2 linked regions of the Oreochromis niloticus genome follow. The protein of the gene in region 2 binds, or shares a complex with, the protein of the main gene of each other region. Links are inferred from orthologs where the notes say so. Each region holds a gene or a part of one and is shown on either strand. Other genes may lie near its edges.

Region 1 (7,615 bases), on a different chromosome or scaffold from region 2:
CTGAATGTCTCATTCATCTAACTACAACAAGAAAATTGTAATGGCTCTCGAGCCATCGACAAAACAATGAATTATGTCTTGTTGGTTTCTTTCTTTTAGTATTAAAGACTTTTTGTTGAACCATGAAAAATTCAACTACACGGCCACATGTCCTGAGGGCACGTATCTCAGCTCCCTATCTTATGATTGTTTTACAGCGGGTCCTGCATTACAGGAATAAATTAGCTGTTTGCTTACTTGCGCTGCACTGAGTGCATCACTGAGTGGGTGACTAATTCAGATGAAACGCAAACCATGACAGAGGAAAGAGAAAATCCCCTCCTCCTCATTGCTCTTTATCTTTTCCCTCTTTGTCTCACACAGGCGTCTCCCCTGGACCACCTTCTTTACTCACTAATTAATTAGTTCAAAGAACATTAGGGAAAAAAAATCTTTGTATACTGCATTTCTTGCCCACAGACACAAACACTGTGGGCAAGTTGAATTTACGCTTTTTCTGCTCCATGCTCTGTTTGTGGAACAAAGACCTTCCACTTTTGTGGAGTGAGCTGATATCTGTAGAGCTGTCACAGCTGTGTACACCTCTCCACCCACTGTCTCAGTACATTTATTGACTCAATGTATTTTTTTTTTGCCTTTAATCTCAGTCAAAATGCACATTATTAGAGAAAAGCACACAAGTCCATCTGACCCTTGCACACTTGCCTTTGCTTGTGTGTCTGATTCTAAAGAACCTCGTCCCTTCACACACTGAGGAAAGTTTTCCTTTTAAAGTTTAAACACTGACTCTCCCATAGTTTTCCCGGCAGTAAAAATGTATCTGGGCTCTTATGGGTTAATGTCCTGAATGCTTTTTTAATGCCCTTCCATCCATTTAAAAGGGTTTATTTCATGGATGAGATATAGAGCAGAATCTGTGCGACCTGTATCAACTAAAAGGCTCAGGTCGTTCAACATTTGTAAGGCCTTGCTGTTTATATCACTTGCCATCACTCTGTGGTGGCAAGTGTGGTGTTCTATGCAGGAGTGTTCGGCAGGATGAAAGCTGCTAATGTCAACAGACTGAATAAATTCATCTTGAAGACTGATTCTGGGAGTAAAACTCGAAGACTCGGGTAGAGGTGTCTAAGAGGAGAATGCTGAAGAAATCCCTCATCATTATGACTAATACATCCCACCTGATGTATACGTCTCTGATTGGTCACCACAGAGCAGTCTCATTTTACCACATGGGAGCATTATTACATTATCACTAGTAATTTATTCTCTATTAAATTAAAAGTGATACTGTAACAGAATTACTTATAATTCACATAAGTGATATGGTGGTAAACTGAAAGTGATCATTTAATTCTTGTTAACTTATCACTGTAATAGATGGTTGTAGCTATTCATCAATTTTATTTGGGAATAATATTCATATTTGCCTATTTCCACTACTGTACATACTGATATTTAGATTTGTTTTAAAATCGTTTAAATTTTTTTTATTTAGCTTTATTTTTACCTGAGCTTTATTTTGTTATGTTAAAATTCAGTTTTGCTTTGTGCATGCTGATTTGTGCACAAATGAGCAGTGTACAAACCAGCTTGCGCCAGTCAAAGGTCCGAGGTAACTGGCCACACATCTCCAGCTATTGGCAAAGGGGTTAGGTCTTTTTGTTCCGAGTTTTAATTAAAGAGCAGGGAAATTGCTATAGCTATAATGACTTCAGGACTTACTTTTGCGGGTGATCTGTGTGTTTGCTGTGGGAGGATGAAAGTAAAAATGAAAGGTTAGAATAACTGGTGCATAGGAGAAGTACTTTTATTAAGAATTAGCTCTTACCCATAGAGCGCCTCCCCATCAGACCGATAAACTGATGTGGCTTTGGCTTTCTTGTCATTCTCAGCAGGGCTTCTCTGAACGGGTCGTCGGAAATCCAGCCATTCTGAGTGGAGGGGGAGAAGGAATGCTTACACTGAGAAGCAGAGTGGAGTGAGAGTGGATCTTATCTTTATAAAAATTTAGTGTCATCAAACTATACCTCAACTGTGTTAATACCTTATCTACCTGCTCACGTCATTATAACAAGAGAATAAAGCGGAATTCTGCCAGAACCTTATCTTAATCAATATTAGCTGACAGTCCCACCCACCGGTCCACCCACATAAAATACACCGAGTAATGCAGAATGAATTTGGATCTTTTCTTGCGATTTTCTGTTTCCATCTCAGGATTATATTCATGCAGTATGCATTAGTGTGACTGGCAATATGGATCTTTGCGCTACTAATGTCCCGCACAGAGAGATGATGCCCGTTGTGACAAAGTGCCGATATATCCAGTCGCTCCTAAAGTGTGATTAAGCTAATATATGAGCCTTTATATACGCCTTTTCAGTAAATTTGTGTATACATATAATTTTAATATTTTTTTAAAAATACAAATATGCAACCCTACAAGTGTGACGCTGGGGTTTAACATACGTCTGTAAGGGGATGTCTTTGTTCTCACAAAAAGGAAGAAAAAAAAAAACTTAAGTCAAACTAATTTCCTTATGCCTGTTAGGTGGTATATAAATTTATTCTGCTTTCATCCACTGAAGGAGACTAAAAGACGAGCTACTTTAATAGTAGTATTTATGAATTATTAAGGAGAGAGTATAACTCTGAATACATACCTGGATTTGATTAGTGCTCGTCCAGTAATCAGTGTCCTCTTTTGGGTCATTTTCTTCGCCGGAAACTTGGGCGGCGGCGATGAGAACCATTAAAACTGCTACAAGCAGAGACTTCATGATCTCGCAGCTTTTCTCTCACTCTACAACAATAAGCACTCTAATACCCAATGTATCACGATAACAGTTATCAGTCAGCAGAAATAAAGCGAGGTGAATGAAACAGGTGTGTGAGCACCAGAAGGAGCTGGAGTGTGCGCTGTTTCTTCCTCCACAAATCAACAGTAGTCCATAGCGCGTAGCCTGTGTCACAGCACTATCTCCAGCGCTGTCTGCGCACTCAGCTTCTAGAGCTGTTTGTTTCGTAAGGTCTCCGATCCGTACGCTCCTATATACCGGTGTGAATAGTGTTGCTAAGTAACGCCTTAACAGTACTATGATTACTTGAGTGAAGTTTCGGTAAGCAGCCTGTTAAGCGCAGTGATCAGAACCTGTTGTGCGTCACCGGACTTCACCGTCACTATTATGAAGAATGATGGTGACGTCATAAAGTACTGTTATCCAGCTTTCAGTCACAGTAAAAAGTCCGCTTTTCGTTGTCACAGCGCCCAAAACTTAAAAGTTGCTCCAACATGTCTGGGCCATTTGATTTAACGTTTTTTCATTGTTTGAATACTTTTGATGGAGGCCAGTATTATAGGGATATTTCTACCTAATGCTCAGTTTAAGAACATTTGTATTTAACATTTAATTTATCATTTATTCATGAAGTTTTATTGCACCAAAGGAGGAGAGTGCGTTAGTGTAGTGCAAAAAGCATCTGCATTATGCAAAAGAACTTGCAAGCGTCTCCACAGACAGCATGCTAACGCTAAGCTAGCCAAGAACTGGGAGTAATGTAAAAGCTGAGTGTTTGTCAACCCAAGCCCAGCTGCCAGACCCTGAACTTCAACAGGTAACAAATGAATGAACAGACAGACTGCATCCTCCATTTCTACAGTACAATCACCGTGGTGATCGTTTGAAGTCTTTCTGGGCTGGTTTTCATCTTTCCCAGATAGCAAGATGAGATTGAGTTAATGTTGATTTTTCATCTGAATCATCATTATGGCCAAAATATGCTAAAATCCATATTAAAATACAGATGATACCTGACAGTGTAACAGTAATGACACTGGAATAACATTGATTCAAAGTTCTCATGTTATAACTGAATGATTATTGATCTGTTTATAGTTGACCAGGCGACAACCAAGGCATTGAAAAGTAATGGATTCCTAGTTGACCTGGAAATTAAAACTATTATCAGCTGGACTGTTCCATGGGACCCCTCTCAAAGTCATTCGTCTATGGCTGACTGGGAAATTATATTGAAATTAGGTGGATTTATAGTTGACTGGGAAAATGTATTGAAATTCCATTGACTTACACTTGAAAAGTTGCAAAAATGAGCAAGATGGCAGCGTGTACGGACATATTCAGCAGCACAGCGCACCCAACTACTGTGCACCTCTTTGGGTTTTTTATGCCTTTTCACTGCGTCCTCCTGCAATGCACTGATCACTTTGTATTGTTGCCTCTACTTTTAAGATTAGGCTTAAACTTTCCTTTTTGGTAAAACGTATAGTTAGAGCTGGATCAGGTCTGAATTGGGCTGCGTGCTTATGTGGTTCAGGACTGGTGCTATAACAGCAAAATTATAGAAAGTCACTGCTCACCGGACTTAGACACCAGGTCCATTCAGTGCAGAAGCTTCTATCTACCTCGGGAGTTAACGGTAGCCATAGTTGCCATTGTTTACATCCCCCCCAGTGCTAATGTTAGCTCAGCACTCAACCACATTCAACTTCTTATCAGTAAAAACCAGAGACAGCACACAGAGGGTGTCCAAATTGTTGCTGCAGACTTTAATAAGGCATTTTTGAAATCTGTACTCCCCAAATTCCCCCAGCATGTTATGTATCCTACCAGGGGGGGCAGGACACTGAACCACGTATACAGCAACATCCAGCATGTCTACAAAGCGACACCCCTCCCCCACCTGGGACAATCTGACCACCTCATTCTGCTTTTTATGCCTGCATATATCCCCCTCAGGAAACAAACCCCTCCAAGCATCTGGGTCATTAAACATGGTCTGTTCCCTCCAACATGTTCCCTCCAAGAACATGAGGTCAGAGGGAAACTGAGAGTGGCAAACCCCAGGAGAGCTGCCAGTCCCCGACAACATCCCAGGGGCTGTGTCTAAAGCCTGCGCGGACCAACTGGCAGGGATCCTCACCGGGCTTTTCAACCTCTCCCTGACTCAGGCAACGATTCCCACCTGTCTGAAGGCCTCCACTATCATTCCCATCCCCCAAAAGGCTGGTATAGGCAGCCATAATGCCTACAGACCTATAGCCCTCACGTCTGTAGTCATGAAGTGTTTTGAGCCGGCAGTGCCTCAGCACATCTGAGACTGGCCACTCCCCTCCCTTGACCCCCCACCAGTTTGCTTACAGAGCAAATTGGTCCATGGCGGATGCCATCACCACCGCTCTTCACAAAGCACTGAGCGAAGAACAGGAAGACATCCTCACCACCAAACTGGACCACCTTCAGATCCCCGTGCTGACTGCTCCTCACTAAGTGGCCCCAATCACTCCCTTTGCACTGCTTCCAAGCACTTTGCTACCCAATGTGTGTATATCACTCTTGATTGGATATATTTCTCTTGATGGTGTATATATTTATTCTGTTTGCTATTTATTCCTGTATTTATTTTTTATATATACATATTTTTTTACTCCTGCACAGTTGGCATGGAGCATATGCTCCATATATATCAAAATGCCATTTATTTATAGTTGAAAAATCATGTATTTGTAGTTCACTATGAAATTAAAGCTATTATTGCTTGAACTATTTCCCTCTCACTGTGGTACACCCCATTGGTTCAGTAGTCATTAAGTTGACCAGCAGATGATATTTAAAAATCAAAACCAAAGAGGTGACTGCATTTTGAATACAAACCTTGAAAGACAGAAATTATTACAACCACTCCGAGTAGCTGAACTTCAGCTCTTTGGAAAGCACCTGCAACACACAGCATGTATACTAAGATAATCAAGAGTGGCATTACAGCTGAGTGAATGCCAACCCCAGCCCAGCAGCCACACTCTGAACTTCAACATAAAACAAACAGATGATCAATCAGGCTGCAGCCTCTGTTTCTTCCTGTTCATGTTTCTAAAGTAGTGATCACTGTAACAATCACTGTTAAGTCTCTTTATGCTAGTTTTCATCTTTGCTTTGTGCTGTGGGCCTGTGTAATACCAAGAGAAAGCTCATATGTGTGTCCTCATGAGTACAGGGATAAATTATGAGACAATGCCTTTTAGGTAATTTTACAGCATCACATTAAAGTAATTTAATGAGTAATATAAGGAATTACTTTATCCTGGGAGTAATTACGCATTGTGCTGCATTATTTTTGAGAAAAGTGTTCAATGTAATATGTGCAATAGTTACTTTTTTGGGTAATGACCCCAACATCGATCACAACAAAGAGTGGAAATACCTCCAACACAGAGTCGCTAAATTCTTAACAGTTCTCATCGCTAGGTAACACAAACATAACTCAATTTTAAAATCACCGCCACTTTACGAGGCACAGAGCCATCACATCATTAGTGAAGCTACAGACTGAATCTGCCAGTAGCAACAATCCCAATGCGATTTCTCTAATTGCATGTTCTAGTTTGATTTGTAAAATTTGGTTTCATATGTAAGAAATGCATGTTGGTATACATATGTCAGAAGCAAGATTTTATAAGTTCAGAATGGGTATTAATTTATAATTTACATAAATTACACATTGAGAAGGCAGCTGACTGAGTCACGTAGATATGTATCCTAATTTTTAATTTATGCACCAGTGTTTCACACTTTATATTTTTAGTTGTTCACATTTTTGTAGCTCAGTATAAGAACCTTGTTCCTTACATTAATATCATAAACTTTTTTTTCAGGAGTGGATCCCTGCATGTTCAGAATAACAGAATCATACACAAAATGTAATATTGAGAACAGGCCACTTGTGACCATGATGATCGCCGGGTGCAGGAGGGAAGTGTTCTGTCATATGAGCTGGTAGTCTTGACCAGAGATGGAAGTATTTGGCAGTATTTAAGACCAGTGCTTACAACTAGTCTTTGCCAGTTCGTCTGCTAACCCATGTTGAGATTTTGGCCAACACATTTTAAGTTCCTGTTTTGCCTACCTTGTGTCTCCTTGTATTTTAGTTTCTCACAGATCTCCATTGCTCCAACCTGGCAAGAACCTCACTTACCTGCTGGTCACTGTGAGATTATTATATTATCTTATGCCATGTTATACCCCTGATTAATGATTGTGAAATTATTATGTAGTTTTAGTTTGCTTTATTCTCCTGAAGAGGTGATAACTATTAGATTTATTAAACTGATTTGTATTAGATTAGACTGCTGATTTATAGTGAATGAATGATATTGTTTTATGATGCATTATACTGCTGAGTTATAAGAAATACCGTTTTCAGAGAGTCATGGCCTTATTTGTCTGATTAGAAGAGAACAGAACATACCAGAGAGGTTTTCTGCCCCATCTCATCAGGAGGAGATAAAACAAGGAGCCGAGGTCATAACTTAGGCGGCGTGTGAGAGAAAGAATGTGAATGTTTAGATTTTTACGACTAGGTGCGGGCCACTAGAGGCTATAAGAGGCTGAGTAACCCTCCACCAGTTTTAGATTTGCTGTGACCCTCTTCATGCATCTCTCCCCATCTGCATGGCTTGTGCTCATAAGTGTTAAATTGTATGGAAATAAATAATTGTTGATTGAGCATTTACACACCGAGTATTGTCCTTCCTTCAGCCCAAAGATGAAAAGAATTGGGAGATTACATCACTCCTCTGAATCTCACACCACTGGTTCAT
Region 2 (8,132 bases):
CATTAGCACATTAATTATAAAAGCTCCAATGAAAACTCAGCAGTAGGACCATGCTGAATATTTTAGGGGAGAAAAACAGAGGGATGTGCCCAGAAAGTAAATATTCATTTTTTATACAATTCCCACAAATCATTTACAGCCTAATTTAATTATATGTAAGATATTTCAGTGCACACACTTTTAATGAATGTAGAGGACTATATATTTATATACATAGAAGTACATTTCCCATCCTGCATGCATGCCTTAGAAGGGAAAGTTATTCAGACTGACCTGGTAATTTCATGGCTAGAGCTGTGCAGTGAAATGTGGATGGAGTTGGAAATGAGTAGGAATATTTAACTGTTGTGCGTGCCAGTCTGTTATCATTCATAGCTGTGGCTTCTTCTCACACCTTTATTCTCCAGGATGGTGCTCTGACTGTTGTGATGAAGTGGACATTTAAGAGGGGATCGAAGCTTCCCTGGAGACAACTGCAATGTCCTTGAGCAGAAGCAAAATCGACACAGTTGGATGCTATCAATAATTTATTTTCGGAGAATATCTTTTTTTTTTTTTTTTAATTAGTATGTTGCTGGTGTCACTGACGAACTTTTGGCCCAGTTTGGCCACAATTCAATGATATTAAAGTCAAAGTAAAAATTGCAGAAAACCAGACAGCTGTCAGGAATGAAACCACTGTCACATTGCACAAAATGGTATGCTTCCCTTGTGTAGTTCCCTGTCCCGCTGGGTGATAACAGACATTTCATTCTGTTTTTAATAGTGGCAAAAAAGAACAACACTGAGATCATGGGCCCAAGCAGTACAGCAATACTAACATGCTTCAAAACAACGATCTTTGTCTACAAGGACAAATACTTCATAAATGCTTGTCCTGTATACTCTGTTACCTTATTGTAAACTATGTCCAGCTGTGCATGTCTTTGCATGTGTGTTTGACATGACATCAAGATTTCATTTCTAAAATAAAACCAATGCATGCTTCAAAGTTATGGTTAAAAACCACCTCCATGCACTTTTTTGGGTGTATTTGTTTGTGACACATAACAAAGTTTTACATTCATTTATTTACCATGGTAATTGCAAAGTGAAAATCTGGTGTCAGTAATTACATCACTGACATTGTCAAGGTTAATGGGGTTTAGGAAGCTATTTAGCATTCTGGGCAACGATCCACCTTAGAAAATGCTGCTTTTAGTACTAAACATCTACTGTTTAAGGTTGAGACTCTTATCTTGCACCAGTGCTCTGTCATACTCATAAAAATATTCATATTTTAATAAATAGGAATAATTCTTTCAGAACACCTTTAACCCAAGCCTTCAAAGGCTCATGTTGTACACTACAGTATTGTAACTCTTCATAAAAGAGAAATAATATTTCAGTATGGAGATTAGGGTGAGGATAATTCAATGCTCTGTTAACTAGGCTCTCTTCATGAACCCTCCAAATGCTTTCAGGTATTTTATTTTTTGATCTTATTGTACTTCCAAAGTTATACAAGTCCATTTTTGTTGTTTTAGAAAACTTTAGCAGAATTTCTGCTTGATAGATCTCAAGCTAGTTTACCACTATTTTTGCCTGAACAGTGTGCTTGATTAACATCTGAAAGATCAAATGACACCTCATGTTTCCTCTTACACCTTCAACAAATTCCTTTTCCTTCTCGTTCCTGTGATGCATTCTGGTCCATGTGTCAAAACTGTGTTTGTGATACTTCAGCAGCTAGCTACTGCTACAAGTGAAGATGAAGGTAAATTGAAATGCATTGAAATGCTCAATAAATATCACACAACAGCTTTTCACATATTGTGTCCTGGTAGGTGGAGAAAGTAAGAAAGCGAGGACAGGAGGGAAAGATGACAGATTATTTTCAAAGGTAAGTGTCGCTCAACAAGTGACTTTCTATAAACTGGAAATTTAAAGATTATTTATAATGTCCTAATTAAGTTTAGAGTTTTTAAATTAGATAACTGGATATATACATGCTGTGTTGCTTAATTGTGTTCTTGAATTACACCAATTTTTGTGTTATTCAGGGGTTGCATGGAAAACTGGGGATATTTAGGGCAGGATAAACTGGTTAAAGTCATATGTCATGTAGACTGAGGAACCAAAATGCAGACTCATGGACAAATGTTAACCGAAAACAAGCTTTTATTTAATATAAATCAAAACTCCAGCAGGAAAAGCGGGAACATGGGGTAAACACTGGGAGCAAGGAAATCTACAGAAGCACTACACACCACAGGATGTAAAGTAACATAAACTGGAACTTTTATTATTGTAGCGTCTTTACAATATAAAGTGTCTTGAGGGAACTGTTGTTGTGATTTGGTGCTATTTAAATGAATTGAGTTGAATTGGAAGCTGGAAACAGGCTGCGGAAAACCGGATGACATGACAAATGGCAAGTAGAGACTCAGACAATTTATACACACAGCAATGAGGCAAGGGGCAAACAGGTGGGAGACAGCAGGACACAGCGGGAACAAATCATGGCTAATGAGACTCAAGAAGTTAAACTCAGCACAAGAGAGCAACAGTGTAATGCCCATGGACACTTTAGAAAGGTCTTCTAGGGCAGAGGTTCCCAAAGTGTGGGGCCCGCCCCCTAGGGGGGGAGGGGGGGCGCGGTATGAAAAGAAAAAAGAGGACAACTTGTTCAGGGGGAATTAACTAATTAAAGACTTTATGAAATATGACCTTTACAACTATCATGGGGCAAAGCCTAAAGGAGTATTTCTGACCTGACACCATTAGAATAAAATACTAATTTCTTTAAAATGTATAGCTAATAAATGACTGAACACAGTCAAAATACAAATAACCCCTTTTTTTCTTAATAAGGCAATAAACAAATGGGCACTAAAAGAGTGGGGCTACATAAGTACCCAGCTGGGTGCTGGGTAGTTAGCATTCACACAGAGTGAGCATTCAAGAAACCAATGAAAGGAGCAGCGGTAATAAAGATAGAAAATACTGGAGTATCAAAGTTGTGAATGCATTCACAAGAATGCAGTATTATTCTGGTAATCACTAAATTTCTATTATAGTAAGACATGGTGGCCTCGAATTTTTGGCTTTAAATAAAGAGATGAGTCTTATCACATTTGGAAGGTACAGACTGTTCATGGAATTCTATTTGATGTCTACAAGACAAGCTCAGAGATAGTCAAGTCATACAAGCATCTTACTGAGTGAATAACTATGTGCTCAAGACTGAAGCAGCTCAGAGGACTCTTTCCTCAGTAAAAAAGCAAACTGAATATAAAGGAAAAGAAAATCCTCTAAAGAATTTAAAGCAGGTGTAAGTACTGTATTATATTATGAATCAAAAAGTGTTAAACTCAATTCAGATCTTATTGTAATGTAAATGTCAGTTATGTAAATGTGGTGAAGACCGTTGAGAGGTCAGTAAGACTAGAGAAACACTGTATAAATGCCAGATAGTTAAAATATTTATCACAGCTACAACATTTTTGGCACTAAAGACTCCCTTATTCCAGTGATAGGAGTTTTGGTTCCTTCTTGTCACACTCTCTAGTCTTTCAGTACCGTAAATAGTTCAATGGCAAGCTGCAAAGAAATCCTCTTAATGAGTTCATTCATTCTCTCACATTACTTTTCCTGACAGACCTAAAGACAGATCTTTCTGGCTAGATATAAAGACAGGACAATGCCCACATCTATCTCATTGTCATTAACATCTTACCATGAAAGCCCTATTGGTATATTATCTTAGCAATATATGTCTGATCATCTCATGATATGATATGATTGTCACGGACCCGGCTCTGGAGGACTCGGGGGTCCGTGAACAGGATGGACCATTATTATTATTATCATCATTATTATTATTATTATTATGGTTATTTGGGGATGTGTGTTTGTCTGCACAATGCTGTGTTATTCTGTGGTCCACTCGTTATATGTATAGGCAGGGTGTGGGTGTATAGGTGTGGCTGTAGGATGGAGGACAGCCACCTGCAGGCCTGATGGGTGTGGCCCTGCTGGAGGACTGGCCACACCTGAAGTCCCTGCCACACACCTGCTGCTGATCTGGGCTCGTCGGGGGAGCTATTTAGGAGAGTGTTGGAGCTCCCACCGGCGCGGGATCATTGAGCTAGACTCCAAGTCAGTGTGTGTAGCATTAGGTAGTACGGATCGTGTGTATGCGCGGGGTCAGTGTTAACGGCCGCTTCTGTTATTGTCCTGCAGGTGGAACGAGGGACCAGAAGGGCAGCACGCACAGGGTGTGCAGAAACACAACTGCCGGGAGCACGAGCACGGACGTCAGAGGGGAACACACACACGGGAGTCTAGGGAGCAAAGGGGGTTTATTGTGCATCTGTTACCTCACTGTAAATAAACGCACTGTTCACACACAGAGCACCGCGACTGGGTCCTCATTCCCCATATCCCCAATGATATGATATGATATGATATGATATGAACATATGTAAGGACTGTACGAAGAACCTTGTGAAAAGAATGGCAGGACTGCAGGTTTTTCATTTATATCCTGTGAAACAATCAATCTTCAATCAAACCTCTCCAGTCCAGAATCCAAGACCACAAGAGGGGGTAGTGAGTGAGAGGAACTAGGTGTTCATTATGGCACCCCATCACTCTACACAACAAGCCACAGTAAGAAAAAAAGGTCATTTTCATAATGTAAACCAGAACCAAGAAGTGACAAATTTAACAGTACTTTAGGTAGTGAGAACGCCATGAGTGTTAAAAGAGACATAAATTGTGCAGTAAGTAATTTTTATGTAATGTGTAAATTTGGGGTCATTTGAAAAGAAGTCAAACAATGTTTCCTTATCTTACATTGTAATTATGAAGTAACATATTTTCACAAGTGGTATTTATCTTTTATTTTCAAATTGCACGAACAATGCCAAAAAAGATTGTATATATTGTTATTATTGTACATAATAACTGAAATTGTCCGTGAAGGAATTATAATAAAATTACATCAGATAAAGTATTTAGGCGTAGTAATCTAGCTGGCATCCCCTTACAGCCTACATGGGTGCACTGAAGAAGTCACCTGAATCCGTAATCATAATTACCGAGCCAGCCTGTTGGACGGGAGCGCAGAAGCTCTCTTCAAAAGCTGGTGTGCAGCCGCTCAGTCGGAGCAGAGGAGCAGCGGGAGGACAGCACACAGACAAGGAGAGAGACACAGACGGAGCTGAGCTGTTAAAATTGCCAGACTCGTTCTGGTGCGCGTAAAAGACGCCTTTCTGTTTTTACGCACAGCAAAAAGGGGGAAACGTGCAAAGATTAATATGGAAGTTTCGACTTCAAATACTTTTTCTGATTCGTTGACTTTATTATTTGTAGGAGAGCGGACTCTCCGCAGACTACAACTGTACACTTAGAAACGAGCGTGAAGCTTTCGGAAACTTTCCAACATTCACTTTGCGTTTGGAATCGTTAACTTAGTCGTGTAATTAATTGGGGTTATTTAGTGACAATTTCGCTTGTAAACAGTAAAATGGATCTTTTATTTAGTACCACCAATGCGCCAAATTGGACCAGCAGCTCCAATGACACCAATAACGGGACCATTTACTGGAACCAGTTTGTGCAGCCGGTCTGGAAAATCGTCCTCTGGGCCATTGCCTACAGCTGTATAGTTATCGTGTCCGTAGTAGGTAACATCACAGTCATCTGGATTATTATGGCGCACAAACGCATGAGGACTGTCACCAATTATTTTCTCCTGAACCTCGCGTTCGCCGAAGCGTCCATGTCTGCATTCAACACGGTGATCAACTTCACCTACGCGGTGCACAACGAGTGGTACTTTGGACTCGACTACTGCCGCTTCCACAACTTCTTTCCGATCGCGGCTGTGTTTGCCAGCATCTATTCAATGACTGCCATCGCTCTGGACAGGTAAGCTTCTGTTTTCACAGCCAGTCTGCTTTCAGAATACACGAGAAATGTACCCCAAATGTTTGGTACTGGAAAACACCCGTAAACACCCGAGACCGTCTAATAAAATCTGGCCATTCACTGTACAGTTTATGTTTCAAAATTCCAAGAAAGTGAAGAGTACATCCATACATATCGATCATTATGAAAACAGACTACTGTTGATTTCTAAGAGCGTATAGGTGTGGTAAAAAAAAAAAAAAAAAAAAAGAAAGAAAGAAAAGAAAAAAGGTGCAAATGCTTTCATATTGTTTTTACTCGTATGGTTAAATATTACGGACTCCGTGCTCTTTGGAAAAATGTTTGAAATTCCATGAGAAACTTCCTTCACTAGTTGGTGTAAAAGTAATACTGACAGTATTTGTTGTCCTTCGCTGCCTCTTTTGTTTGCATATGGCGAAACAATGCGTGACGCACAGGAAGCGCAATAAACAGCCATGGTTAATGGTTTATTGCCTTCTGGATCAAACCCTTATCAAATAAGAAAAAAAGAAAAGCAAAGCTGTTGCTAAACGTTTTGTGCATTCATTTTATGTCTTCATGTATACTCCTGTTACTGAAAATATATCCTCTGGGGGAAAATATTTCTTCATTTCTAAGGCTTTGCTCGCTCTTAATGAGCAACCTTGTGTAGGAACACGTTGCACCAATGGGGCGGCACCATAATAATCCTGAATGAAAATGAATGGATAGAAAGCACTGCTCTATTTGAGTAGGTGTTTGTGTGAGTGATAAATGTGTGTTGTTGTCCTTGTGTGTTGTGTATGTAAATCTGTGAAGTATCTATCTATATTTCCATGTAGGTAATTCTCTCTGTGTGCAGGAAGGAGTGTGTGAAAATATGTGCATTGCCCAGTTTGAAACATGTTTATATGTGTTATCTGTAAGTGTGGGTGGATGTGGGTGGGTGTACATTTGAGACATCCATTTTCTTGCTTAACCACATGAAGCTGTGTTTGCAGCTCTGTATTTTCTGCATCTCAGGACATAATAGCTACTAATTGTCTCACTGTGGAACACCATTAATCTGAACTTTCCAAGATTAAGTGAGAGATTGTTAGAGCTGAACAGAGAGCAAAAGGGAAGCAACCACACATGCTATATTCAGTCTGCTCACTGCAAACATGCTGTTACGAGGAGTTTGCCAATCAGGTGATATAGGAATCTAGCTATCCACACGCATCCACGCAACATAACCATGATTTTAAAATCCTCGTAGAGGAACCTTACCTTTACCTTGAAGGCCCCACATGTATGCAGCTAGGAAAAGATAGTATTTCAAAATATTTCAGAGATGTTGATGATTAAGCTGGAGGTAGACACCCACTGTGACCCATCATTCACAAACAGCACTACCTTCACAGTTAACATTTCATCTCTTAATGACATAGATATAAAATCATTTCTGTCTGTTGATCGTATGTTTGATGAATGTGTTAAACGGGGGAGGTGGAGCAGTGTTGCTGTAGCTGATAAGACGTTTCTTTTCTTATCTCCATCCTTTTCCTCCGTGTTTCTGGGGTGCTCTTGCACTGCACTGCCCACAGATCAGCAGTACAGCTGCGTGCTCAAATCAGTGTGCTGCTCCAATGCTGACTGTATTGAGGTAATTGGGAAAAAAACAAAACAAACTCAGCTGTAGAAAAATCTACTGGGGCTGTATGTGGATTCATTGGGTCCTTTATAAAATGGAGTTTTCAATTTCTTTCGCCCTGGATTTTGGGTAGAGGGAAGTAAGAGAATTTGTCAAAGTAGCAAAACAGTACAAACCTAAAGCCTCTGATTACTGTAGTGGGAAAAAGACTATAACACACAAATGTATTCCTCAGTATTTTGATGATTAAATTTAATCAAAATTCATGGTTAGCACTGTTGCCTCACAGCAAGAAGGTCCTGAGTTCAATTCCACCATCAGGCCAGGGTCTTTCTGTGTGGAATTTGCATGTTCTCTCTGTGTTTGTGTGGGTTCTGTCTGGGTACTCTGGCTTCTTCCCACATTCCAAAGATATGCAGTTAACGGGGATAGGTTAATTGGTAATTCTAAATTGCCCAGAGGTGTGAATGTAAGTGCAAATGGTTGTCTGTCTCTATGTGTTAGACTGGCGACCTACCCAGGGTGCACCCTGCCTCTCTACCTAAGAGAGCTGACCCCGAAAAGGATGAGTTGAAGAGAATGG

Evidence for each region.
Region 1: the proteins of tacr1a (region 2) and tac1 are in contact, whole or in part, in a cryo-EM structure (PDB 7P02), measured with the Homo sapiens proteins. The link is inferred for Oreochromis niloticus from reciprocal best matches to the Homo sapiens genes TACR1 and TAC1. Residues at the interface, in NP_001049.1 of Homo sapiens: Gln24, Phe25, Asn85, Asn89, Tyr92, Ala93, Asn96, Trp98, His108, Asn109, Ile113, Gln165, Met174, Arg177, Val179, Cys180, Met181, Ile182, His197, Val200, Phe264, Phe267, Phe268, Tyr278, Leu279, Ile283, Gln284, Tyr287, Met291; in NP_003173.1 of Homo sapiens: Lys60, Pro61, Gln62, Gln63, Phe64, Phe65, Gly66, Leu67, Met68.

The regions. Positions count from the first base shown.
Region 1 is NC_031985.2:36,816,324-36,823,938, forward strand, and holds the start of tac1 (protachykinin-1), read right to left. Parts: upstream 3,165-7,615; 5' UTR 2,781-3,164; coding exon 2,664-2,780; intron 1,932-2,663; coding exon 1,829-1,931; intron 1,747-1,828; coding exon 1,723-1,746; intron 1-1,722. UniProt on the Homo sapiens protein: Tachykinins are active peptides which excite neurons, evoke behavioral responses, are potent vasodilators and secretagogues, and contract (directly or indirectly) many smooth muscles.
Region 2 is NC_031977.2:5,949,873-5,958,004, forward strand, and holds the start of tacr1a (tachykinin receptor 1a), read left to right. Parts: upstream 1-5,110; 5' UTR 5,111-5,512; coding exon 5,513-5,916; intron 5,917-8,132. UniProt on the Homo sapiens protein: This is a receptor for the tachykinin neuropeptide substance P. It is probably associated with G proteins that activate a phosphatidylinositol-calcium second messenger system.